7 linked regions of the Ovis aries genome follow. The protein of the gene in region 3 interacts with the protein of the main gene of each other region in a pairwise test. Links are inferred from orthologs where the notes say so. Each region holds a gene or a part of one and is shown on either strand. Other genes may lie near its edges.

Region 1 (3,500 bases), on a different chromosome or scaffold from region 3:
CTGTACTGGGAAGACCCGATGAACTGTAACGTGTGCGGCAGGTGGGCGTACTGCACCGGGGACACGGGGGCCCCGGATGGCGGGGGCGGCGGGTATGCCGCGGGCATCGTCGTGGTGGATGCCACCGCCGGGACGGACCGGGGCGCGCTGGGCGGGGAGTAGTCCAGCCCCGTGGACAGCGCTTTGTGTAAACCTATTCCCTGCTGTAAACCGAGCTCCGCCGGGGGCCCCGCCGGCCCTAGCCGCCCGCCCACGTGGCCCCGGGCACCGGGGAGCCATGCCGCATTCTCCGCGCGGTGGTTGTCGCTGGGCACTGCCTTGTCCTCCGAGGACGGCCGGCTGGTGGCGGGGATCTCGCGCTTCTTGGGAGGCAGGCATTCGTTGCTGCGCTCTTGGTTGGATTTCATTTTTCGCCGTCCCCCCTCCACGGTGACCGTTTCACTGTCGGACTGGCTCTGGTTTTAGTCTGATAAACGGAAAGTCACATTTGATTTCTGTAGGGGATCCAGGCTCTTCATGAGGAATCATCTCCCCGTGGGTGCGATCCTCCAGCAGCTGCTCTGGAATCTGGGAAAAGGCAGAGGGTCGGGACCAAGAGGGAGAAAGGGGTGGGGGGTGGGGGAACAGGGCGTCAGAACATCAACACCGGAAAAGAACACCCTCCCGCGAGATTGATGTGAATCCCCCAAAATCCTGCCGCCAGCCCCACTATTAGAGCAGGTAAAACGCTGCCGTGTTGGGTAGGACATCAGGAAGACCATTAAGCCATGGAGCAAGTCAAACCTTTTTTTATGGGTTTAGTAAGTCTTCTAAGATATCTCTCTCAATACCTTCTCCCCTGCCCCTTTTTCTTTTTGGAGGGCAAACAATGCATTTCTCAGTTTCCTTCCCAGAAATGGCCCTCCCACTCCTCAGCTGTATCTTTACCCAGTCTCTGGAGGATCAAATGAAGCCTACAGGGAGGATGGCACCAGTGACAATCAGCCCTCCTCTGAGCCAGGCACTGGGAGGACCAGGTTAGGAAGGGAAGTCCCCAGCGGATTTCATAGCTTATCTGAGTCCTCTGCCATAGTGAAAGTAGGAAGTGGCTCAGCCCTCTCCGACTCTGCGACTCCATGGGCTATACAGTCCATAGGATTCTCCAGACCAGAATACTGGAGTGGGTATTCTTTCCCTTCACCAGGGGATCTTCCCAACCCAGGAATTGAACCTGGGTCTCCTGCATTGCAGGCAGATTCTTTACCAGCTGAGCTATCAGGGAAGCTCTGCCATAGGCACTACTCAAAGATTCTAGTGACTCTGGGTCCATACTGGATTTACAACAATTCTCTCTTGCCTAACACACACACACACAGACATAAACAAACACACTATATACAGGCCAACTGAGCAGAGGCAGCCCCAAATAATTATGTTCTCTACACGTTTCCAAACAGCTCCCAGTACAGCTACTCATACGGTAACAGCCAAAAGGAATCTATGAGACAGTCAAAATAGGAACATGGTTTGGTTTTTAAAAATGCAATAATCAGGCATTGAGGGTGTCCTTAATGAGGGCAACATGCTTGCTTCATCTCTGCCTCTTACTTCCTTTCCAAGTGCTCTTTGAATTCTCTCTCCATACTCTCCACCCTCTTCTTGGAAAGGGCCAGTCCACCATGAACCCTGGAGATGAAGCCTCTGCTAGACCAATCAGGCCTGTGTGTTTCAACCTGGCCATACAAGTAGGGAGCCAGTTTTCATGGACACCTATCTCAGTCTTTTGGGAACCACCGAACTCTGTTACCAGAACTGTGTAGGCAGACAGATGTCCACCTGGCAAGAGGCAGATCATCAGTGGAACCAACAGGAACTAGGCTAACAGGAGGCAGATGTGAGGGCTGCCTACAGGCTGTCAGCAGTCTTGTGCTGTGATCCTGGAAAGTTGCTGAATCAGGTTCTGGGAATTCCAGGTCCTGGGTTTTAGCATTTCTCCTACCCAGACCTGTTTTCTATAGTCTGATGTTAAAACAGACAAAATAAGGCAGCAGTTTTCAGCATTACCCTCCCAACCTCCGGCTTTATTAAGCCCCAGGTATAGCCTTCTCTTAGGAAGTTCATGGCATGTAATTTACACCTAATATATACAAATCTACTGAGATGCCAGTGCTGTTTTCAAAACGACAGAATAAAACTAAACTACCAAAATTGAAAACAGTTGACGCTTTTGACTGCTTAAAAAGTGTTGATACCGATCTTTTATCTCTAGGTTTCAAGTTACTCTAAGAAAGAGAACATAAACTGGCATTCCCATTGGGACTAGCAAAGGAAAGTGATTTAGGAGATGGACTCAACGTGAACTGCTCCATGCGCCCCCTGCTGGCCCCACAGTAGCACTGCTCCAATAAAACCCCACAGGATTTCATTAGGGATGTTCATGTAAGAGTAGTGTGTCAGAATCCAGAATGAGAGTATTTGCATATAGCAGCCCAGCCAGTAAGGGAATAGGTTAATTAGCCCAAGGCAGCTCTAGGGAAGGAAAAAATAGCAGCATAAAAGTCCTTTCAAAGCCAAGCAAAATGTCAAACACGTTTGCAAAGAGGTCCATTAGCAATGCAAATGTGAAATTGCTGCACAATGGAACACACCATACACAAAACTAGAAAACTCCTCTGAAGGTACTTTTTAAAACAGAACTCAGCTTCAGTGAATCTGAAAAAAACAATGCTGACTTGGTTCTTAGCAGTGCCTTGGTTTATATACACTGTTTTTTTGTTTGTTTTGAGAGACACTGGGAGGCTTTGTTGGCCTTAAAGATCTCATTATAGATTCCATGGCTGGTTTTTCTGCTAATGGACCACTAAAACATATCGGCCTTAACACACAAATTCAAATGCACTCTTCTGAAAAGTGGTCCATTGATAAACATCTTTTCCAGATAATAACTGACACTAAGTCAAGGATACAAAGATTAACTGGAGCAACCCTGGGGCCAGACTGATATAAATTTCGGCTCACCCTCCTACATTTAGAAGGACCATGTTTCCTATTTACCAGTGCAGCTACAGACGTGGGTCACTGTAATTCTGGGGCACGTGTCCCTGTTCTGCGCTTCATTGGCTCTCTGTGCTGTCCGTATCTCTCAGCAGGGGAAGTCATTGTGAGAGTAGGGACTGTGTCTAGCTATATTTTCAGTGAGCCACGAGAGGGCACCACAGGACGCCACTGTGTCCCTGGTACATTGGATGATGGTTCACGGGATGAAAAAAAAAAAAAAAAAAACAGAGATAAAACTATGAAGGTAGAAAGTACAGGAGGGAAAAGGGAGAGAGAGAGAGAGAGAGAGACTAGGAAAGAAGAGAAGAAAGGAGAGTGGATGTCTGCTTTTAGGGCTTCTTTCTAGCTGCAGACAAATGGGCTTCATGTCCCTAATTGCCTTTTCAGTGCTGAAACACACCAATGGTTCGTTCACCTGAGTCCCCCAGACAAGGCGTGTGCCTCCGGATGCACCTGCCGCAACA
Region 2 (4,046 bases), on a different chromosome or scaffold from region 3:
TCTGCAAGCTTCGAAAGTCACTGTGCAGCAAAATCTTATGTTCATTTAAAGTTCCCCGTTTCTGTCCTCAGAACCTTCAAAAGCATACCTTAAATATCACAAAGTGATGCCCCCTTACTAGCATCTGCTAGCTTTCTGTACCTCGGAGCTTACACATCAGATCTCATCACAGTAAAGGCAGAAGAGCTTTCTTCACTTTTCTCTCCACAGACCTTCAAATTCATAGAACTGGATGGACCACAGCAACAACACGCTCTACCCACCTGCACTTGTAAGACTTGCTTTAAGTAACTACTATAATGCAACAAGCACCAGTGAGACAAGAGACCACCCTCCACCCATATGGTCCCCATCCCATCCCATCCACCCAAGTGATCTCCTTGGCCCAGCAGCAGCCTGAACCCCATGCTAACTCCTTCCTTTCCTCCTTTTACATCACCTTACCGACACAGCTTGCTGCATGCATTCCTTAAAAGGCGCATGTATCTTCACTGTGGCTGCCTTGAGTACTTGTAACTATGTCACAGTTGATTCATGCATCCTCTCTGCGGCAAACGCTGAAAATAACAAGCGCACTAACAAGACTCTGTTAGGACCTGAACTTCACCTGCTTAATGCTCAGATGTCTTTCAGATGATACAACACATTTATTTCATGAAGTCTGGTGGCAGGTAATAAAAACGGAGCACTTTCTAACATCTGAATATATCTTAGGAAGCCAGGACCAAATGGAAATACAAACAGTTGATTTTCATAACCTCTTTAAAATACCGCCTCACTACTGACTTCGTTTTCATAGTAACATCAGCCTTTGATCAACACATCTTCCAGGTATGCTTTTTCTTTTACTTAAAAAGAAACACGGTAAACACAGCTCTTCTGGAAGAATGATGACTTTTCAAGATTCTACCCAAGCTAGAGAAGTATTTTTTTTAAAACACGTGCAACTAGCAAAAAAGAACAAGGAAGACGTCTTCTCAGCAGCACCCCATGTGCTCATCTTTTAAGTATATCTCTGAAGCCTTTGCTGACAACAAACCTCACATAAAACCAGCTACCCCCTGAACACACGTCTTGTTAGGCTCCACTGGGTGACATGTCTGTCTCTTACTATATCATAAACCCCTCAAGGCGTTAAGGGATGTTTCTGTCTTCATCTTTATATCTCCAACTGAGCACCTTGCGTGGGACATTGTTAAGCACTTTTTAAATATTTTCTAAATATATCAGTGAGTGGTCAGTCAGCACACAGCACATTTCTTAGTATATACCATTTGCTTTATTTCTTCTAAAAATAAATCACCTACAGTTTAAGTTACTAATGTAATATCCCATATCGCCTAAATATCCTCACTATAGTCAAAATGCCTGTGGCCCTTAACTCACAGAACTGTGGAAACTGAACTGCATCCTTTAAAAACTCCACCTGTTGAGGGGAGACACAGTCCGCACCTACCTGAGAATGTCCAGAATTTTGCCCTCCCCTAGAATATCCTATTTCCCACCCACTTGCCTGCCTCCCCGGTGGCTCAGAGGTTAAAGCGTCTGCCCCCAATGCGGGAGACCCGGGTTCGACCCCTGGGTTGGAAAGATCCCCTGGAGAAGGAAATGGTAACCCACTCCAGTATTCTTGCCTGGAGAATCCCATGGACGGAGAAGCCTGGCAGGCTACAGTCCACGGGGTCGCAAAGAGTCGGACACGACTGAGCGACTTCACCATACACTATTCTGCCTGCCCTTAGGAATAAGCACCTCCCAGGACCCTCCTCCATTGATTTCTCAGAGAACCGTCTTGATCTGACCTGACTACCCACGTTCACACTATCTACCTTTCCTGCAGTTTCCAGAATGCACTACGGTGCTTCCCTTCCGCTACCTTTACCCTTATTTCCTCTGCAAGGAAGCTTTCCCCCATCCTGCACATTTAACAAAACACCCCCAAGGCTCAGTTACACGCCTCACTCCTTAGGAAGCCTTTCCAGACCGACCGAGGCGTGGCTTTTTACACTTGTTTCTCTGGAAACTAAACTCACGGGAGCGTAGAGACAGAATCTTACTGATCTAACTATTTGCTGTTCCTAAACATGACCTGGGCAAAAGGAAACGCTCAAGCAAAACAAAAAACAAAAAACGCTTTGTGACTGGATATCGAAGCTAAAACACCGCTTTAAGAAAAGACAGGGTCCGAGGCAGTGCCAGAGCCTCGTCCAGGTAAAACCCTCGTCTCTGAGGGATGGCCACACCTGATTCGAAGCCAGGGGCGGAAACGGATTCCTTCCTCGGCGGCCCCGGCTACTGGGTTCAAGGGACCAACAGCTGTTCCCGGACAGACCGACAGCGAGAGGGAGGGGACAGGAGAGGGAAAGGTGCCCTCGGGTCCAGGAGACACAAGGCCAGAGCAAACAGACGAGGAAGAAAAAGGGGAGAGCAGGGGTGCGAGGGCCCTGCAAGCCGAGGCACATAAAGGACGTGGGGAGCAGGGAGAGAGAGAAGACGGGAGGCTTGCCAGCGGCCAGGGCAGCCAGCGGCGCGGGGCCGGTCAGGACCCCCGCCCCGCGCCCCTCGCGGTGCGGCCTAAAGCCGCGGCCTCGCCTGTCGCGACGCCCGCCCGAGGAGGCGCGCCGGCCCCGGCCCACGCCCGCCCACCGGCCCCAGAGACCACTTACCCGGCCCGCCCGGCCGACGATCCCGGGCCGCGGCGGCGCACCGAGGCCGACGCGCCGCCGACACCGCGGGCTGGGGGCTCGGCGTCAGCCCCCGACCGCAGCACCGCTCCGGCGCCAACCCCTACGCAGACTTCGCGGGACGCGCGGCGGCGCGGGGTCACGGCGCGTACGGCCGGAAGAGAGGCACCCGGCGCCTGCGTTGAGGGCGCCCCTGCTGCCGTGCGCCCCCTGCCGTCCGGAGGACCACGCCCGCAGAGCCGAGAGATTTCCTCTGCAGCCAAGAGGGGTCGCAATGGCAAAAGGTTGTGACGCTACAGACCCGGGAGCCTGGCATTGACCTCAGGCGGAGAGGAGGGCTACAAATTTGGGCTTCATGAGGAACACATGTACACCCGTGGCGGATTCATGTCAATATATGGCAAAACCAATACAATATTGTAAAGTAATTAGCCTCCAATTAAAATAAATAAATTTATATTAAAAAAAACTGTTCATCATCAGTGTGCACAAAGCTAAAGATAAATCATAGTAGGAGAGATGAATGGCCAAAGGGCTGTAAAAGACAAGACCAGGGGTGCTGAATTAACTGTGTGAGGTGAAAGTTGCTCAGTCGTGTCTGACCCTTTGAGACCTCATGGACTGTATAGCCCATGGAATTCTCCAGGCCAGAATACTGGAGTGGGTAGCCTTTCCCTTCTCCAGGGGATCTTCCCAACCCAGGGACCAAACCTGGGTCTCCTGCATTGTAGGCAGATTCTTTACCAGCTGAGCCACAAGGGAAGCCCAAGAATACTGGAGTGGGTAGCCTTTCCCTTCTCCAGGGTATCTTTCCAACCCAGGGATCAAACCCAGGTCCCTCACATTGCAGGCGGATTCTTTACCAGCTGAGTCACAAGGGAAGGGATAAGAAAATCATGGGTATGAAGTTAGAGTTACAGGATACATGTTATATACGTATACATACATGTATACATACACGGTACATGTTATAAAGCCTCATGATTTCAAAACGATAGGACAAAATTTGGGACGAAAGAGAAAATAGGATTCTGTGTCAATGCGATTTTCTCGTCTATATTTGAAATCATATACAAACCCTAGGTCCCTGTCCTTTGAAGTAAAATGATTTTGCTTAATCTCCCGGGCCTCCCCAAGTCTCAAACGGCTGACTCAAGAGTTAATGACTGGGAAATGTGAAGATATAAAATAGCTATTGAGCCAGGAAACTGGTAACAATTTATACTATAAACCCACCACAGAGCAGAATCACTCACTTCCCAGGGCCCTGAACGATAAAGGTCTGACACACGTCCCTAGGTTGTTTTTACAGGAAGCAGCCTCTGCCAGATGAGAACTGCTGACTGCAAGCATGTAGACACT
Region 3 (4,300 bases):
CTTACCCACTGGACTACCAAGGAAGTTTTGAGAGGTATAATTTTAATAGATAATAGAATGCTTTTCAAAAAAGCATTCAAAGTAGTAACTTAGCTTTTTTTTTTCCTGATTGTTGAAGACGTCTCATATCACTTTTAATTTGCATTCATTCTTAGGAGATTGGTACTTTTCATATTTTTGGCTATTTGGATCTGCTCTTCTCAGGCTTGTCTATTCAGTCTTTGCTCATTTTCTGTTGTTTTTCTCTTTTATTTTTTTAAGACTTATTTCCATATTACAGATATTAGCTCTTTATCATATGTATGGCAAGTATACTTGCCTAATGTATTACTGTTGACTTTTATCATAGTTTCCTTTGGTAACTAACTTTTGTTGTTTCCTGTCTTCATAAAGTCTCTACCCCTAGATGACTCCGACAATCTCCTAAATTGTACTGTGTCTGTTCTATTGTTTAAATTTAGGACTCTATAGGGCTCAGGGGTTAAAGCTCTGCCTGCAATGCGGGAGACCTGGGTTCGATCTCTGGGTCGGGAAGATCCCCTGGAGAAGGAAATGGCAACCCACTCCAGTACTCTTGCCTGGAGAATCCCACGGACAGAGGAGCTTGGTGGGCTACAGTCCACGGGGTCGCAAAGAGCCGGACACGACTGAGCGACTTCACTTCACTTTATACCATTTACTAGCTAAATCTTTTCCTTACTGAATTGAAATGCCATTTTTTTGGTTAGACTCTATCCTATTGTACTGTCTTTCCTACAACAATACCACATTGTTTCATTAGTGTGTCTTTTCTATTGTATTATTCGGAAAGGCAAGCTCCTCAACCTAGTTTACAAATTTCCCCACTATTTTCAGTTATTTTATTTGACTTAAAAGATGATCTAATCAATCTTAACTTCGCTGGGATTCTAATGAAAACGCACGGTATTTTTGATAACTTCATATTGCCTTCCACTTAAGATATGTGTACCTCCATGGGCTCGGTACCGTTTTTAATCCTTCTTCCTCCCACTTTTTATTTTTTTCAAAAACAGGAAGTCCTCGTTTACCTGTGTTGTCGACGGATCCGGTTTACCGGTCCGCGCCAGCCCCTCCCCCACCCCTCGGTTCCGGGTTACCATGGGACTCGAGGATTGACGTCACCAAGGGCTTCCGCGCCGGACCCGAGGGTCAACGCTGAAGCCAGGGACAGAGACACGGTTTTGCCCCATCTATGCATGCCCGCTCCTGTCCCGCTCCTCCCCGACCCCAATTCTTGTTCCGCCAAGGCTTTCCCGCCGCGACCTCTAGCTTAAACCCAGCGAAATTACTCCCCGGGGAAAAGGAGCAAAGGAAAAAAAAAAAAAAAAAGAACCAGCGACAGCCAATCCCAGGACATTACAACGCAATGGAGATTGATTGACTACACCAACCCAGCCAATGGGAGAGCTCTTGGCCCCATACGTCACAGAGTTTGCCCCACCCTATCCCTCCTTTCTGGACTCCGAGCTCCGTTCGCGCAGTAACAAATGAAGTGCGCGCTGCGACACCTCCCAGCTCTTCAGGCTCGGCCGCCATTTCCTCGCCTGGCCTAACGGTCCGGCCAATCCCAGCGCGCATCGAGAAAAGCTAAGGCTCCACCAATCGGAGGCCGCCGATTCCGACCCTTTGCCTCCGCTCGGCCCAATCCAGGCCCCGGCCCCGTCGCCCCCGATCCGCCCCCGCGGCGCTCTCTCTCCTCCCTCTTTGTGCGTCTCGCGCCGCCGCCGCCGCCCCGCCGCGTGAGAGAACGGGTTCCGCGCGCTCCGCGGCAGCGCAGTCGGGTCCCCTCCCCCCAGAAGATTCGCGAAGAAGAAGCCGCCGCCGAAAAGGAGCCGCCGGTGCCGGTCCCTGGGGGCGCCATGGCGACCGGAGCGAACGCTACGCCGCTGGGTAAGCTGGGCCCCCCAGGCCTCCCTCCCCTCCCTGGCCCCAAAGGGGGCTTCGAGCCGGGACCACCGACTGCCCCCGGGCCTGGGGCGGGGCTGCTGGTGTCCGGGCCGCTGCCGCCCCCGCCCGTGGGCTCGGTGGGGGCCCTGACCGCGGCCTTCCCCTTTGCGGCGCTACCGCCGCCGCCGCCGCCGCCGCCGCCGCCCCCCCCGCCTCCCCAGCAGCCGCCGCCGCCACCGCCCCCCTCCTCGGGCTCCTCGTACTCGCCGCCGCAGCCGCCCCCTCCGCCGCCGCTCTACCAGCGCGTGTCGCCACCACAGCCACCGCCACCCCAGCCGCCGCGTCAGGACCAGCAGCCGGGCCCGACCGGCGGCGGAGGAGGTGAGTCGGGCCGAGAGAGCGCGCGAGGCGCTGCGCGGATGGGCCCGGCCGGCTGAGGGCCGCGCGGCGGCGGCGACGGCGGCTGCACGCGGCAGGGGCGCGCGCGCGCACGGGGAGGCCCGGGCGGCGGAGCCACGGGGCGCGCGGCCTGGTTCTCGGGCCTCGAGTGCGCACGCGCCTCAGGGGTGGGGGCCCGGCGGGAGGAAGTTTGTTGCGCGCAGGCGCAGTTTGGCGGCCGGGCTTTGTGGCTGTCCTAAAAGCCGGGATTGGGGGGACCCCTTGTTGCTCTCTGCCCCTGGTGTTCAGGAGCGGGTGTGGATAGGGGATCGAGTGGGTGGTTGGGGTGCCTCATGTGCAAGTCCGGAGGGCGGAAAGGGTCGACTGATGACGTGGAGCGTCCTCTTCCTGGTTGTAGTGGAGTCCTAAAGGAAGAAAGTACCAAGAGAAGCTCCTTAAAACTTCTTTAATAAGACAGGGCTTTCACTTCAGAACCAGAATGGATGAAAGTCTTCAGGGGGTGTTTGGGTCCGATTTTTTTGTGGCCCTTTTTGGAGAAGGATGTTCCGTTCGTTTCCATATCTCACTGTATCTACCTAGGAAGTATGACACGCCTCCTCTTGAGGCTTTTCCGCTGGGTCTTGCTCCTGAGAAGGCGCCTTTGTGTATCAAACGCCAGGAAGTTTCTGCTTGTGTACTGGGGAAGAAAGATTTGGCTCTTGTTGTATAGCTTGTTCTTTGTTGAACTTGATACATTTTTTAGACCCTAAGTGTCCACCTGGCCAGGAAAATGCTGACCTTAGCCAAACCTCTGAGGAGAAAAGTGATTTTGCTGAAAAATCCAGGTTTTTCAGTTGATAACCATAAGTTTAGTTGCGTTTTGTCTCAGGTGACTGGTGGGGAGGTGGGAGGAGCCAGAAGTTAACAATATTGCTTTATACCCTTGAATATTCAGTCTGCTCTTATGTCCTGGGGCTGTTAAGAGGTTTATGGACACCATGTGGTATACTATTATCTCAATACTTTTTTATTTCACTACTTGAAACTTTATGCACTGAGATTTCTTGTTTACATATTTCACAACATTTCTGTGGACAAAAATCATAAATGTGCCATGTTAACTTTTCAGACCCAGGTCCCCTTCTAGTGGCCATGTCTTTTGACTTCCCAGGTTTGTCTTCCATTCTTTGCTGTTTCTTTTTAGGTCAAGTTCTCAGTTTCACGGTCTGCTGAGGTTGTGTGTAGTATAATAAGTATCCTAAACTGCTTGTTGGTAGTTACTCTGCTGGTTTATCTTTGCATCTGACGAACCTTATCTCTTTTAGACTTCCCCAGTAAGAAGCGGAAGAGGAGCCGCTGGAATCAAGACACAATGGAACAGAAGACGGTGATTCCAGGAATGCCTACAGTCATCCCCCCTGGACTTACTCGGGAACAAGAAAGAGCTTATATAGGTAAATACACGTTCTGCACTCAAATGCATTTTCAGATCGTTACTGAACATTTTATTTGTTGAAAGTTTGGGACTTTACAGTTTTCTCTTTGAGAGGAGCTATGGTCAGATGACTTTGATGTAATCCATAAGTTTTTGCTCTGTGAGTCCTGCATTTGTAGCTCCTTGTTTTGGTCTGTTGGTAACAGCAGTGTTCTCCATGAGTGCCAGAAGGGTAGAGGGGCCTGCTTAGGAATGAGAATAGTTCCCAGCCCAGCACCCCACCCCACCCTTTTCAGCTGCTGTTCATTACCAATTGATGAGGTGAGTGTTACATGCCTCTCTGGACTTGGCCCCAGTGGAGAACACTGCAGGTATTGTAAACCAAGTACCTTTTTCACAGCCTGGCCTTTCACCATAATTTCATATTCCTCCTTTCCCTAAAATGTGGTCTTTTATTTTTTTATAGGTACTTTGTGAAAGGGGAAAAAACTCAGTTTAATCAAAAAGTGGTTCTGAAAGTGTGTTTACCCCCTTTTACCATTTTGTTGAATTTAACCTTTCCTTCAGCATCTTTTCTGG
Region 4 (3,500 bases), on a different chromosome or scaffold from region 3:
AGCCCCCCTCACCACAGGGTCCCTGGGCCTCCAGGCGCCGAGAAACAGCTGGGAGAACACCTTCAGGACCCACAGCCACAAGTTCACATAAGCCGACCCTCCAAGAAGTATTCCAACACTCCTGGCAGCTGTACTCACACCTCATTCATAGCCGCTTAAGTCAACTGTCTGGAGAGGGATGGAGCCAGGCTCTTCACTGAGACGCCTCACCTGGATCAGGCCTTGGCGCCCAGAACTAAATTCTGCTTCCTACCACCTTGTCCCGGGTTGATTCCCCTTAAATTGCTTTTGGTTTTTGTTTAAAAAAAACATACCAAAGGGAGGGAAAAAAATCTTACTAAATTAAAGCTGGTAAAAAGTCTTAAAAATATGGGAAACAAAATGCTTTCAAACCAAATACAGGTTATCTCTACTCAATTGTAGTTGCCTATCCTTTATTATCGGAGAAGGCAATGGCAACCCACTCTAGTACTCTTGCCTAGCAAATCCCATGGACGGAGGAGCCTGGTACGCTGCAGTCCATGGGGTCGCTAGGAGTTGGACATGACTGAGCAACTTCACTTTCATTTTTCACTTTCATGCACTGGAGAAGGAAATCCTTTATTATACACCACAATGCTGAATGTCTTCTGGGGAAGTAGTATATGCAAATTTTAAATCAATCAGAATAAAGACTACAACTTTTTTTTAAAGTCACATACCTTTTAAACAATACACTTTTAGGCAGCCCTGACTAGGGATGGAACTTGTGCCTGCTGCGTTGGGAACAGAGTCTGCACCACTGGACAGACAGGGAAGCCCTTAAAAGCCAAACAACTTAAAAGCCTCCTGTGTTAAGGAAAGCCAAGATCTTTCTCTATTCTTGACTTGGGCTTAGCCACTGAGGATATAATGGGGGCTGAAGTAAACTGCACACCACCATGGGATATGATTGGGCTGAATTAAAATAAAATCCCCAGCATCAGGTATCTTGAGCATTACAGTAAGGGCTAGAGACGAGCAAAGTGTTATTTAATAGTCTGCACATCTAACCACAATTTTAGGCAAAATCTCTTTATGCGGCTAACTAGAGTCGGTTCCTCTTAGATCAAGTAGTCATATCCCTTCCATTTGCTTTCCTGTCCAAAGAGGTTCTATTACTTTCCCTTTACCTCATAAGGAAACCCCCGAAGATGAACATCATTCGTACTTACATTCAAAGCATTCTTGGCAGCTTCTGCTTCTGAGCGACTGTCAAAACTGACAAAACCTACGGGCTAAGGAAAGAAAGAGAAATATGAAGAAAAAAATATCAGGGGATGTCTCTGTTTCTGGGTCAAAGATGACATCAAACCAAAGAGCTCAGATAAAGAAATGACCGCAGGCAATGGGCAGAAATCAGAAAGCCAGTCCAGAAGAATCATGACTCAGTGGCTTAGCCAAATTTCTAACATGGATCAAAGGGATGGTGAGGGTGGTTCTTCAAGGGACAGCTGGAGATTTAGAGAATCATTAAAAAAATTAAGTCTAGAAGGGGCTGGAAGGTGAGCAGCAGTGAACCAGGGAACAGAGGGAAACTTGGGTGGAGGGACTCTACTGTCCTACATCGAACTCACTGTACCTCAGCATCTTCATCGTTTAAAATGCAAAGAGAACCGAATCACCTTTTGGTACACTGTAAGTGCAAGGAATATAATGACACAGTGATAAAAGCCCTGTAGTCTCACTGCACGATCAAAATTATATAATGAACATTTTAATCTCAAATCCCAAGGGATGTTTTTAAAAAGTTCTGTGTTTAATTAGGTGTGTAAACCATACTGTTCCAACTCAAGAGAGGACTCCTAATTGCTTTGGACTCAGTATCTTTGAGTCCAGAAGGATAGTTGCAACACAGCCTATTCCTGATGAACCAGAGAATACTGTATTGAGACGAAAAGTGACCCAAAGTGAGATGCCGGTTGCTCAGGATTAAAAAAAAGCACAGCCAAAACATTTCAAGGCCCTTGAAGCCGCTATCAGGGTCACTGATTACTACCTCCATTCTGCACCTGTGCCTTTTATGCGCCATTCTAGACTTAAGACTCTGCATGTGGTTATTAAGGGTTTGAGACAGAGCCTGATTCTTTACCATCAACTTCTCATACTGACTGTGAATGAAAAGTCTGACTATTTAACTGTATTTTTAAAAAAAAATTGGCAGTAAAAGTGAATCTAGACAATAATTTCTTTTGAAGATACAGATCAATCCCAATATAACCATGCTGGAGGCATTATATTTGCCTTCCTTGAGGATAGTCTCAGACACTCTAGCTGGAGGCTTTGGAATTAGGAATCATTTTCCTCTGCTAATTCTTAACTGATCTCACCCTTAATTTTAGAGCAAAAAAATAAAAAAATAAATCTTAATGGAAATTTAAAAAAAAAGGATGTTGAGCCCTTGTGACATTCCTGAAGAAAGTCAATCAAAATTTATTCTATAAGTCATCACTTATGTGCAAGTTTGAAATGCTTACCTGCTTAGATGTGAGCTTTATAAGAGAACCCTCGTAGCCCTGAAAATAAAGAACCAGATTTAGACCACAAAAACAATACGCCAGGAAAAAAAGCAATTGTAATACCATCTTGCTCAAGTGACAATGAGTCCTTTATGACCACTGACCAACTCTTCCTACAAATGTCTGTTAACTATAAAACAAGTTTTATACACACACACAATGTATATGCCTAAGTATATATATATATGTGCTGTATGCTTAGTCATGTCCAATTCTTTGCAACCCCCTGGACTGTAACCTGAAAGGCTTCTCTGTCCATGGAATTTTCCAGGCAAGAGTATTGGAGTGGGTTTCCATTTCCGACTCCCGGGGATCTTCCCGACCCAAGGATAGCGCCCAAGTCTCCTGCACGGTCAGGTGGATCTTTACCACTGAGCCACCTGGGAAGCCCACACTTGGGCCTAAAAGAGATCAAGCCCTGAAACTCACTCTCTTACGTTTCTTTTCTATGTTCTTATGCAATTGGGAAACAGTTGGAAAACGGTATCTATGTCAACAGAAGGTCTTTTCCATTTTATACATAGGATAAAAGCCACTCCACTCCAGTATTCTTCCGTGGAAATTCCATGGGCAGAGGAGCCTGGCGGGCCACAGTCCATGGGGTGGCAAAGATGTGGACACAATTAAGAGACAGAAGAAAGGCAGTTAAGTAGAGTATGTGATGACTTGTTCACACTTATTCACTTGTTCACACTGAAAAATATATTTGCTGTAAAACAACAACAAAACACTGATAGTGTACTTAGTAGAACTTGTCAATGAAAATTTCAAAATTGCCTGGAAAAGTTAAACAGGCAGTAATGCTAAATTCTGTTATTTTGCTTATTTATTGCAGCCATCTGTTTTCATGCTGGTATTAGGATTGGGAGATGCAAAAATTCCCTGTTGGGTTTTACTCCAGCTCATCCTCAAGGAAGATGGAAACACTCCCTTTCACTCCCTTTCTGATCCCTCCTGGTTTCC
Region 5 (3,500 bases), on a different chromosome or scaffold from region 3:
GATACTCATCGGGAGCGGGGGCCGGAGGCAGCGGCTTGGAAGCTGAAAGGCGACAGAGATGGCCGAGTGAGAACCCGGGTGGCAGCCTGGGTTGAGAGGGTGCTGCTTTATCCCTCCACTGCCCACGCAGTGCCATGCTTTAACAGGCCCTGTGTGCTGAGCCAGGGCACCACAGATGACCAAGTCCCACGCCCTGCCGTGAGGCCCACAACACAGGGGCTCTCAGTGCCTATGACAAGCCCCCGCTAGCCATCCTGGAAACAAACACAGGTCTGAGAGACACAAGGCATAAAAACGGAACCCACCTTTTGGGTCATAGTCCTTCCGGACAATGACCTGGTCTGGAGTTGGGGGCAGAGGAGGTGGCATGGGTGTCTCCGGCGGGGGCGGCACTTTCTGCCCTTCCTCTTCATCATCCGAACCCTGAAAAGCAAGGCAGTAGTGTGACTCAGGGCAGGAACGAGAAGCCACCTCCCTGCAGCTGAGCCCGGCAGCTCGCAGGGTGGCAAGCAGCCGAGGCCCCTGCCGGCCAGCATCCCTGTGCTAAGCTCCCCGGGCAGCCGGGGCCAGCCGGCAGCAGGCCAAGCAGCTTCCTCACAGCATGAATGGCAGTGCTGGGGGCTGTGGTGCTGACACTCTGCCCAGGCATTTCCAGCAGCTGGCACCAAGCAGTCCCAGGAGGCCAAGGGCACTTAACGTGCTGGGGAGGGCCACAGAGGGCGAGTCAGCGCTCAATGGGAGCCACGCAAGGAGCAATGCTGGGAGGGAGAGAAAAAGTCAATTCCCACAGACACGTGGGCCTTTCTTCTCAGGCTGCACACAAATTCTTTCCGAGAGGAGGAAAGCGGCTTGGCTCTGGAGACTCTAAGCCTGTGGGGAGGCCTGGCTCAAAGGGGCAGAGGCACCCAGAGGAAGCACAAGCTACAGTCAGAAAAGCTCTGGAAACTGTTAATCATTTGGACCTAGGCTCAAAACATCCAAGTATCCGGGACAGAGGGTTCCCTAAGGAAAGCCAGCCTGGAGGGAATAGTGAGCGGGGCCTCTGGGCAGAGGAGGACGGTCACCAAACAAGCCGACGCGGCTCGTGGACCCTTGCCTATGAAGGAATCTTTGTTGCCCGAGCTGGAAAAAGGGGCGCCTTACTCAGGACCCAGGTCTGCTCTCAGGGTTCACGAGGGGGCTGGCACACTCAGTCTGATGGAGGAGCGCACCCCTTTGCCCTTGGCTCCAGGGAAGAGTCACCCCAGACCCCCCAGGAGCACACCTCGTCCATGTCTTGTACTTGGGTGTCCTGGTCCAGCTGGGACGGAGGCTCCTCCGCCTTCTCCTGTTTCTCATCCTCCTCATCGGACTCGACCTCCATCTCGACCTCCTCGCTCTCCCCAAACTTCTCGTAGCGCTCCTGAATGAGGATCCGGGCCCCCAGCTCCTCCGGGGTGGTAGGCGGGGGGAAGTTTCCTGGCAGAGGGTGAGCAGGAGTCAAGGGAGGGCTCCACAGACACTCCTGTCAGAGGCCCGTCAGGCAGCCTGCCCCACGCCGTTGGCTCTCACGGCTGGGGCCACCTGGTCTCTCTCCCACACCCAGAGGCCCACCCAGGGCCGGGCACAATGCTATCTGTTGAACTGCGAGTAACTGGGGCAGCGGGAGGACCGAAGTCCTCTGGAAACAAGGAGGAGACAGAAGCCTCACTGGGATCCTCCCGCTCCCCGGGGACAGCCTGGCCTGCTCCCCAGGAACAGCTTGGCCCACTCCCCCAGGACGATGGCGCCAAGCTCCTGGCTCCGCCAACAGGAGTCATAGACCAACCTTGCTCGTTGGGTTGGAAGTCCACTGTCTCCACCACCACGAAGTCATGCCAGTCGATCTGAGCATAGGCGACCCGCTCCTTCTCCTTCTCCTCCTCTTCCTTCTTCCTCTCACGCTCCTGGAACTTGGCCCACTCCACGCGGTAACACACCTGAAGGGAGGAGAACGGCGCGATGCTGAGCTGAAATCAGGGTTGGCTCCCAAGGAGGCTGTCACCTCCAGGGCCTTCACCAGAGTCAGCGTCTCCTTCAGAACAGGAGGCTGCTCTGCCCACCAGGGGGACTTCCTGGAACAGACTATGGAACCTGCATCTGGTTTTAGCCAGGCCCAGAGTCTGGACAGGATGAAAATCTGAATGCCAGAGACCTTTGTCTGGGCCCCAAGGGCAGCTCTCTGTTAGAACCTCAAAGTTTTCTGCTTGTGTTGGCGGGTGGCGAGCAAACTCCTCCCTCCCAGGAAGTCTGTGTGACAACCATGTGCCCACAGGAGCTGCGGCAGCCTGACCGCCTGCACAACAGAAGGCTTCAAGCAGCCTCCCAGAACTGCCAGCATCAACACACCTGGTCTCCTGACTCTGAAAACCGGACTTCAAAACCGGACTTGGGCAATTGTCGCCCAAGAACCCATTCAAAAGCTGGCTTCTAGCAAGAGAAGAAAACCGGAGACCGACAGAAGTGAAAAGGAGAGTGGCAAGTTAGGGACCAGGGAACCCAGGTCTCTTTGGTCTTTGCAGCCTCAGTGCCCTTCTTCCCTCCACGACTAAGGTGTCGATTCAGAGACCATCTGCAGACACACAGCAGGACCCACACGCTGGGACCTGTGCTGTTAGTAACTGGCCGTAAAAAATGCAGTTTAGGACTTCCCTGGCGGCACACCTGCCAACGCAGGGCACGTGGGTTGGAACCCTGATCTGGGATGATTCCTCATGCCTCAGAGCAGCTAAGCCCGAGCACTGGAGGGCCCATGTGCTGTACCTGCTGAAGCCCATGCGTCCAGAGCCTGTGCTCCGCAACACGGGAAGCCCCCACGCTGCACCAAAGAGCAGCCCCCGCTCACCACAAGCAGAGGCAGCCGCACCAAGTGACGGGACCCAGCACAGGCACAAAGAACAAGACAGTCAGAAAAGAAGAAAGGAAGACGGTCAGCCTACCTGGTCCAAAACTTCCCGGGGGTTCTCTGCCTCTCTCTTGAGTTTGGTAAATAAGCCTTTGGGTGGAATCAAGATCTGAAACACAGAAAAGGTGAAGCAGCTGTCGGTGCAGCACAACCCGGGACAGAGTGGCCTGTGGAGGAGAAGGGAGAGCACGGGATCACGGGACCAACCTCCTTAGCTGGGCAACGCCAGGCACGTGCCTTTACCTCTGTGACTTGGCTCGCTTCTACAAAACGGTGACACCGCCACTTAAAGGTGGCACTGTCAACTTAAAAGGCTGCGAGGATTCGCAGGGAGAAAGCAAAAGCACCCGCAGATCACCACGCACACCGTCAGCATGCAGTGACTGCCCCCGGGGCGGGTCTGCCTTTCTGCTTCTGCACACGCCCCCCAGGATCCCCAGCGACCTTGCTGAAGACTGCAGCCCACAGGTTCCCCCTCCCTGGACTTCCACGCCCTGCTTTCTCTGGAGCATTTTATCCACGGTGTTTATCACCCCTGGACACACACTAACGGTGCACTTGCATGTTGCCCCCTCAC
Region 6 (3,500 bases), on a different chromosome or scaffold from region 3:
TCTCATTTTACACCTTTGTATCCCTCATAGTATCAATGGGCAATTAAGCAATGCATCTGTATTAAATGCCTACATATGAAGGTAACAGGCACAGTAGTTAAAAGGAAGACTGATTCAAATTCCAGCTCAGCAATTTAATTACTGTCTGACCCTGGGCAAGTCACTGTGCCTAAGATTTACCAGTAAGACAGTATTTCCTCCAGATATGGAAGGTGGGGTTGCGAATGAAATCTGAGAACACATGTAAAGTACAGTGCCTGAAACATAATAATAAACTGTAGTTATTTTTCGAAGTATACACAAACTGAAATACACTTACAATTGGGCCATCTCCTCTTTCCAAATAAGGCTGGTGGTTAATATGAACAATTGCAGGTAGCAAATACTGGAGGAGAAAAGAAGGACAGTCTTATACCAAAACTAAGCCATTATATTAACTGTTCTAAGTTATCACAGTAATTGATAATGTCTAAGTAAAACCAGGAAAGGGAAAACAGAATTCACATCTCTTACATATATATGCAACGCAAATATGAACATAAAATGCTTCCACATATTTCAGATAGCTAAAAAGCTGAAATATTACTTCCACTATTTGAATTAGAATTTTATGCACTGAGAATATATGTTAATATACAACAGCAAAATAAGTTACCACAATATGAAAAGTCTTCCCTTGTGGGTACATACCGCCAACGTCTTCCCAGAGCCAGTCTGAGCAATGCCCACCATATCTCGGCCACTAAGAGCCAAGGGAAATCCCTGGCACTGAATTGGAGTTGGTTCTGTAAAGTGCTGATCCATCAACACATCCATTACGTATTCTGTACAAGAACAGATATTATTGCTTTTAGGTAAAACTAAGAAGCGAACCTACAGCCAAAACAAATTATACATCTCTCCAAGAGAAGCAGTAGTTTTGTCTTCAGTTACTGAAATTCAGTTATTTGACCTGCTGACTACTTCTCAAGAAGGCTACTGCCATAGCCATCTACCCTTATTCTCGAAAACTTGAAAACCATTGGTCTAAAGTATCTAAGGTACAAGGCATGGGCACCTAATAGCCACCTACTGCTTATCTAATCCAAATTTTATCCAGGTAGAAAGCAATTTTATTTTGCTATTTTTCTGAAATGTAGAGGCAAAACCCCAAGGAAAGATGAAAACCAACCAACCAATCAAACAAAAAACCCTGCAAAAGACCCAAAGAAGTTCTAAACTGAGAACACATGAGCATTAAAAAGACAACTCCCCCTGCCAAAATACTTGAAGAACTTTTGTGAAAGGTTTCTGTTTGTCTTTTCAACAAAATCCTGAGCTGGGTCAAAACCTTTAAATAACTTATGAGCACAGTGACCATTCAAGCTAAATTAACAATTAATATACTGGACTGAAAAGCACTTACGTGGGAAGTTAGCATGATGGAAGGCAAACACAGGTTTAGGACAAACATCTCCCCCTCTCACTGTAATCTCTTTCTTTCGGCGTAATTCATCAACCTCATACTATTTAAGAAACAAAGTAAGACAAATCAGTAACCAATTTATTCTAAACGTGCAAAACTTTATGTTCCAATATAGCATAACAAGGATCAAATTCACAATTACAATGGAAAATATGTTTAACACTTCTTACAGTGTTTTTCATGTATGTTCAACTTCACCCAACTTTCTAAGTCAACGAAGCATGCAGTAGGTTTCATTTTCCACATGAGAACAGTTAAATGAAATATAACCAACGTATGAGAATCAAGTGCTTTCTCTTACAAGTATCAGCTTTCCTAACAAGAACCAAAGAAAAATCCCCACCACACCAGAATAAAAAATACAAGAGTAAACTTTGTGTATATATATATATATATATGTATGAGTAAACTTTGGCTAATTTATCTACTTGGTTCATTACTGTACGTCAAGAAAAGGTAAATAAATACCGCCCCTAAAACTTACTGGAGTCAGTCTTGCCACTTCTGGATGTTCGACATAAAAATTCTTCTCAAACTTGGGGAGCTCACTCAAATCCCACTTCTTTTTACGTAGACGCTCCCCAGGATTACCAAATTTCTTTGGGGGAAGGCCACCACCACCTCTTGCTCCAAATCTAGAAACATCAAAATTTTCAGTTTATTAGTATTTTTAAAGCAAAATATTTCAGGTGCCATAAAAACATGCAAAAAGATACAACTCTTAAGATACTACCAGCCCCCTCCAAAAAATATTTGTGTAAAGTACTTAAAATAGTATCTGCCATAGTAAACAGTACAAATTGACATAATTGTATTCATTCAACAAATAGTTACTGGGTATCAACTATAAAGTGGTGCTAGAAATACGCGGGAGCCTGGTGGGCTGCCATCCATGGGGTTGTACAGAGTTGGACACGATTGAAGCGACGCAGCAGCAGAAATACTAACGTGAACAGAAATTGCTACTCTTATGTAATATTCTGAAATGAAGCTAAGTGAGGACATTAAGTTTAAATTAGGGCAAAACTATGGACAGGTAGAAAAAGTTATCTAAGGTCTTTAAAACAATTTAAAAATCATTCTTTTCGCTTTATCTTGCTTTCACAACAAACAAATTCAACTGGAGTACAAATATGGCCATTAGCCAAACTTGAAATGTTCTGTTTCCTAAGAAGAATCCTAAGATGGTCTTCATTTCTGTATTTCAACCTATTAAAAATGCAGGACATTGTTTTGGTGTACAAATACACAATGTTTTCATCCCATTTCCTTAACCACTACACCAAATTTAATTCTCCTTTTCTACTCTAATTCATTCATAACATCATCTTACAAGTGGTTCCACTAGTTTACTACTCAACAGGCAGCAGATGTACTAACCATTCTAAAGCACATCAATTTCCTGGAACTCAAAATGCTCTTAAAATTTCTCGGCTTAAAGAGCCAGCTAGATATTTCTCTAAATACAAATATACAAAAACTGATGGCAGGAAATTTGGGACCATTACGTATTTACATTCAAAAAGACAGAACTTGGCAGATTCTATTTATATTACTGTTGATCAATACCAATCAACACCTTCAATACGTCCTTAGGCTTAAGACCAAATAGGAGACTGACCCCTCCTCCCTCCCTCTTAGGTGAAGTAACTAACACAGTTCTATCAATAAATAAGGTTCTCTACAAATAAAAAAGCCAAGTCTTTAAACTGTCAGTCTTGCAAAGAAAAATGACCAAAGACTAACTTTCAGAGGTTGGCTGCCTAATTATGTGGTTCTTCAGAGAAGACCCTAATGCTGGGAAAGATCCAAGGCAGCAGACAGGGGAGAGAGAGGATGAGATGGTCGGATAGCACCACTGATTCAAAGGACACGAATTTGAGCAAACTCTGGGAGATAGTGAGGACAGGGAAGCCTGGTGTGCTGCAGCCCACAAGGTTGCAAAGAGTTGGACACAATTTAGTGACTGAACAACAACATACGTGGTTCCTAAAAAATGCCATTTCAATGCTGCTGCTGCACTCCAATATTACTC
Region 7 (3,927 bases), on a different chromosome or scaffold from region 3:
CATCAGTCTTCATTCCTGCTCTGTCACTGCAAAGACTTAAAAATTTTCTAATGAAGGTCCTATCTGGCTCCCAGCTGGCTTGGGGCCACCTCCTGCTTACTGCAGCAAGAATAGAGTGAAATCAGCTCCAATCAGCTAATTGAATTGTTTACCATTTTCAATGTTTTCTTCCATTATTATGGCTGAATTCAGAATACCCTGCAAAATACAGAAACCTTAAAGAGAGTAACAGGGAATTATCTTTATCTAACAGGGAATTATCTTTATGTCAGTCACCTTTACTTGCATGGCCAAAAGTCTTAACTGATTTTATACAAAGCACACATACTTCTATAAACAATGACAGACTTAAAAACAAATTCATAAACCATCAAGACTTTATCATTAATTCAACAAACATTATGCTAACATACTGCAGATAAAATAAATAAACCCTACTCTCAAATGAGAGGGAAAAGGTAAAAATAAAATTGAGAGCAACAGAGAACAAGTAGTCCAGGAAACAACTGAGAGCAGCAATTCCAGACTATCTGGTATAGTTTATAACACAGTTAAAGCAAAGGAAAATTATGAAAATTACCAAAGCTGATCACAGCTCTGAGCCTCCTAATAGCCAAAGTATAAAGACAAACAGGATGGCTTACGAATAGAAATGATCTAATAAAAAGAGTCATTTGTTTAAATTTTTTTGTAAAGCAAAGAAAAAAATCAAAAAGGCCTGTCACTGAGGGCTTAAAAGAACCCGTCTTTAAGGTTTATACTTTATAAGGATCAGTAAATAAATTATAAACAGTGTCTTGGGTAGCAAGGAAGAGTTTTTTCATGTTCCCTTTCTCATGTCCCAATCCTAGATAAAAGTTAAAGTACAAAATATTAATTCACAGTTCTGTGAAGGAATTTCTATAAGGATCTAAAGTAACATAATGCAAGTACACTGGTGATGTGTTAATTTCTATCATTTAGCTTAGTCTAGGTTTTCATAAATGCATGTTTTGCTTCTCTACCAGACTGTAAACACTCAAGGCTTGCGTTGTTTGATTCCATTTGAACTTCCTTTGCTTTTTAGTACAGCTCCCGCTCAATTATAATGACCGATAAAATTTTACGCAGTCAATATTTATAGTCTTTATCTATTAGTCTTCTCTGCAACACTACAAATTCCATGAGGACAGGAACAATGTCTTGATCATGTCCACATCCCCAGTCTCTGAGCATATGAATGGACCAAAAAAAGAAAACACAACCAAGAAGTATGAAAGGAGAGGAGAAATAATTCCTAAAATGTCAGTGATTCTGTTCTAACAAGAGCTGCAACACCTAGGTAAGTTACTTAACTTCTCTAACCCTCAAAGCTTTAATCTGTAGAAAAGGAAAAAAATAACACACTTCAAAGTTACTGTAAGCATTAAACCTTTTACTCTACAGAAAGTATTTAGCACAGTATCTGGAAAAAAGTTCATTAAACGTTACCCCTTTAACTTCTCTCAAGTTCTCCAACTGAAAACCCCGTGTTAAACACAACAGTGCCATCAAAGAATAAACTATTTCAGTAAAAGTACAACAGAGTTCATCCTTCCTTTCCTTTGAAGTTAAAATTTCATCTCTTCAATCTTTAAAATGGAAGGGGAATAGCTTGTGAATTACTTTCAAAATATTACAAACGCAAGAACAAGGGGAAAATGTCAATAATGAGCCTTGAAAAAAAAAAAAATAAAAAAAAAAAAATAATGAGCCTTGAAGTAACATGAAGGGAAACATCACTTACTCATCTACTGTTAAGAAACAGGTTTTTAAGGAAGTGTTTATTAAAGGAAAAGAGGACTGAAAAGTTAGAAATGTTATTTAATAGTATGCTTAGAAAAATTACTTCCAAACTGTTTATTCAGAATTTAAACCTTAAAAATCAATTATCTTGACATCGTTTGCTTAGAAGCCGAACATTAAATACTTCCATTCAAACCGAAAACATTCCTTCATGACGGCTTCCCGGACTCCAGTCATCCTTCAGTCCTCTCCTCCCATTTTGAGCTTCTCTCGCATCACCACTGACACACGCTGTGTGCAGACTAAGTTCTGTCATTCCTATAATTACCACACCCCTGTCAGCCGCTTCAGGCCCATGTTGTTATGACATCTGTAAACTGCAGTCGGCCGTCTCCACTCCCCTGCCCCTTCCCCCGAACCTCCGGCTCTGGCTGAAACTTGACAATTTCCGAGACCAGACCGTTCCCTACTGCCTCAGTTAGGGTTTTTACACACACCCCCATCCCCTATTCTCACCTGGCTCAGTCACGCACACTCTGCGCAGCCCACCCCCGCCCCCACGCCCGTCTGCGTGGGGCCGCGGCGCTGGCTCCGCGCTGCCTGCTCGGCTCCGCGCTGCCTCCTCGCCGCCCCGCAGCCTCTGCGCCCCGCAGTCCCCGGCGCCGCTTACAGCCCGGCTGCCGCGCCACCCCGCCCCGCCCCGCCCCGCCTCGCCTCCACCGGCGTTCCCGATGGCGAACACACCAGCGCTCCCCACCCCCACCGTCCCCTCCGCCTGCCGCGCGGCCGTTAGGACAACCGGGCCCGTGACGCACGGACGCGCCGCGAGTGCCCAGGCCCAGGAACCCGAGCTCGAGCACAGGCGGCGGCCGGCCCTCGCCGCGGGGCCTCTCCTGGGTCCCGCCGAGGACTGCCGGATCGGCCGGCGGGAGGGGGAGGGGTCGGGGGCCGCCACAGCCCCGCACTCACCAGGTTCAAGGCAACCGATCCCGGTGCCACTTCTGGGGTGAGCCTCTGCCTCGCTCGCTCGCCTGCCGTCCGTCTTCTACACACAACCTCGAAAGAGTCGGCTCTCGCCGCGCGGTGCTCACCAGGCCTCGCTCGTCGCCTCCGCCGCCGCGCACCCAGCACAGCGAGACCTAGCTCAGCCGGCGTTCGCAGTGCGCCTGCGCGCGGGGGCCGGGCCGCGCACTTGCGCGTTCCTCTCCACCACTCTGCTGCAGAGGCTGCCGGGAGATGTAGTCTTTCAGCTTGTTCTCTGGAGGCTCTGGCGGTTAGCTGGGAACCAGTGGAGAGAGTCTGGAGTCCGGGAGAAGGTCCGATTGAGAAGGTGGGCAGTTAATGACAAGGGTTGGAGAGTCATGCTGGAGTGACAATGAAACGGTAGTTCTTAGGCTGAATTGCAAAGTTATGTTTTGTCTTCGAAGTTCTTCCAGGGCGGCAGGTCGATCTTCGCTCACCTGTCTATAGCTAGCCACTGACACGGTTGTTAACTAGAACACGTTGATGGAATGAATGAAGGCTGAGGGATTTTTACAAGAGTTATAAGTCAGCGCCTCATGGCTCAGGCGTTCACGTGCAGCACGTTTGAGAAAACTTCGGGCTATATCATATTTGGTTCTGTCCCGTCCCGCTTTGCCTGGTAATGCACTGAGCAGTATCAGAATTCATTAAGGAATTAAACGAAACATGAACGCTGGCTTTACTCTCAACAAATGTTCTCCAACGAAAATTTGGGGCAAATAATTTACTGTTAAATTTGACGGAATTCTCTTTGGGGGATTCTTTTTGAGCAGTGGCTTCTAAAGAAAGACTGAAGGCAGCCAAGCAGAGGTCACAGAATATAAAGTCTCACATATAACGGTTTATCAAATCAACCTAAAACACACACGGAGAAGCAGGGTGGAAGAAATGGGATAACTCTGTAACATTAGAGCGGGAGAGAGGACCATACGATGCAGTGTTCATTTGTCCTGGATGTCTTTCTGCCACATCAGTGTTTCCCACTAAAGTGTGTTTTCTAGGATGTGTTGAGTTCGATCAAGGGCCCTGGTGAAAGGGAATGTGTTCTAAGGGGGAGACTTGGCCACGGGGTTGCAAAAGAGTCAGACATGACTTAGCTCACCACCACTGAGCTAAGGACAGATCACTTTATTCCAATCA

The links.
Region 1: the proteins of SF1 (region 3) and ATXN1 interact in binary tests that used the Homo sapiens proteins (3 or more experiments, as listed by UniProt). The link is inferred for Ovis aries from reciprocal best matches to the Homo sapiens genes SF1 and ATXN1.
Region 2: the proteins of SF1 (region 3) and RBM17 interact in binary tests that used the Homo sapiens proteins (3 or more experiments, as listed by UniProt). The link is inferred for Ovis aries from reciprocal best matches to the Homo sapiens genes SF1 and RBM17.
Region 4: the proteins of SF1 (region 3) and RBPMS interact in a two-hybrid assay, tested with the Homo sapiens proteins (3 studies listed by BioGRID and IntAct). The link is inferred for Ovis aries from reciprocal best matches to the Homo sapiens genes SF1 and RBPMS.
Region 5: the proteins of SF1 (region 3) and SF3A1 interact in binary tests that used the Homo sapiens proteins (3 or more experiments, as listed by UniProt). The link is inferred for Ovis aries from reciprocal best matches to the Homo sapiens genes SF1 and SF3A1.
Region 6: the proteins of SF1 (region 3) and DDX17 interact in binary tests that used the Homo sapiens proteins (3 or more experiments, as listed by UniProt). The link is inferred for Ovis aries from reciprocal best matches to the Homo sapiens genes SF1 and DDX17.
Region 7: the proteins of SF1 (region 3) and KPNA1 interact in binary tests that used the Homo sapiens proteins (3 or more experiments, as listed by UniProt). The link is inferred for Ovis aries from reciprocal best matches to the Homo sapiens genes SF1 and KPNA1.

Annotation. Positions count from the first base shown.
Region 1 is NC_056073.1:39,996,763-40,000,262, reverse strand, and holds part of ATXN1 (ataxin-1), read right to left. Parts: intron 568-3,500; 5' UTR 408-567; coding exon 1-407. UniProt on the Homo sapiens protein: Chromatin-binding factor that repress Notch signaling in the absence of Notch intracellular domain by acting as a CBF1 corepressor. Binds to the HEY promoter and might assist, along with NCOR2, RBPJ-mediated repression. Binds RNA in vitro.
Region 2 is NC_056066.1:10,877,075-10,881,120, reverse strand, and holds the start of RBM17 (splicing factor 45), read right to left. Parts: upstream 2,801-4,046; 5' UTR 2,667-2,800; intron 553-2,666; exon of another isoform or gene 445-552; intron 1-444. UniProt on the Homo sapiens protein: Splice factor that binds to the single-stranded 3'AG at the exon/intron border and promotes its utilization in the second catalytic step. Involved in the regulation of alternative splicing and the utilization of cryptic splice sites.
Region 3 is NC_056074.1:39,464,498-39,468,797, reverse strand, and holds the start of SF1 (splicing factor 1), read left to right. Parts: upstream 1-1,500; 5' UTR 1,501-1,880; coding exon 1,881-2,289; intron 2,290-3,611; coding exon 3,612-3,740; intron 3,741-4,300. UniProt on the Homo sapiens protein: Necessary for the ATP-dependent first step of spliceosome assembly. Binds to the intron branch point sequence (BPS) 5'-UACUAAC-3' of the pre-mRNA. May act as transcription repressor.
Region 4 is NC_056079.1:25,712,936-25,716,435, reverse strand, and holds part of RBPMS (RNA-binding protein with multiple splicing), read right to left. Parts: intron 2,535-3,500; coding exon 2,496-2,534; intron 1,257-2,495; coding exon 1,194-1,256; intron 1-1,193.
Region 5 is NC_056070.1:69,352,954-69,356,453, forward strand, and holds part of SF3A1 (splicing factor 3A subunit 1), read right to left. Parts: intron 3,033-3,500; coding exon 2,958-3,032; intron 1,959-2,957; coding exon 1,808-1,958; intron 1,459-1,807; coding exon 1,265-1,458; intron 424-1,264; coding exon 306-423; intron 43-305; coding exon 1-42. UniProt on the Homo sapiens protein: Component of the 17S U2 SnRNP complex of the spliceosome, a large ribonucleoprotein complex that removes introns from transcribed pre-mRNAs.
Region 6 is NC_056056.1:216,001,639-216,005,138, forward strand, and holds part of DDX17 (probable ATP-dependent RNA helicase DDX17), read right to left. Parts: intron 2,101-3,500; coding exon 1,950-2,100; intron 1,506-1,949; coding exon 1,406-1,505; intron 825-1,405; coding exon 691-824; intron 386-690; coding exon 320-385; intron 1-319. UniProt on the Homo sapiens protein: As an RNA helicase, unwinds RNA and alters RNA structures through ATP binding and hydrolysis.
Region 7 is NC_056054.1:187,775,848-187,779,774, forward strand, and holds the start of KPNA1 (importin subunit alpha-5), read right to left. Parts: upstream 2,801-3,927; 5' UTR 2,734-2,800; intron 2,409-2,733; exon of another isoform or gene 2,281-2,408; intron 1-2,280. UniProt on the Homo sapiens protein: Functions in nuclear protein import as an adapter protein for nuclear receptor KPNB1. Binds specifically and directly to substrates containing either a simple or bipartite NLS motif.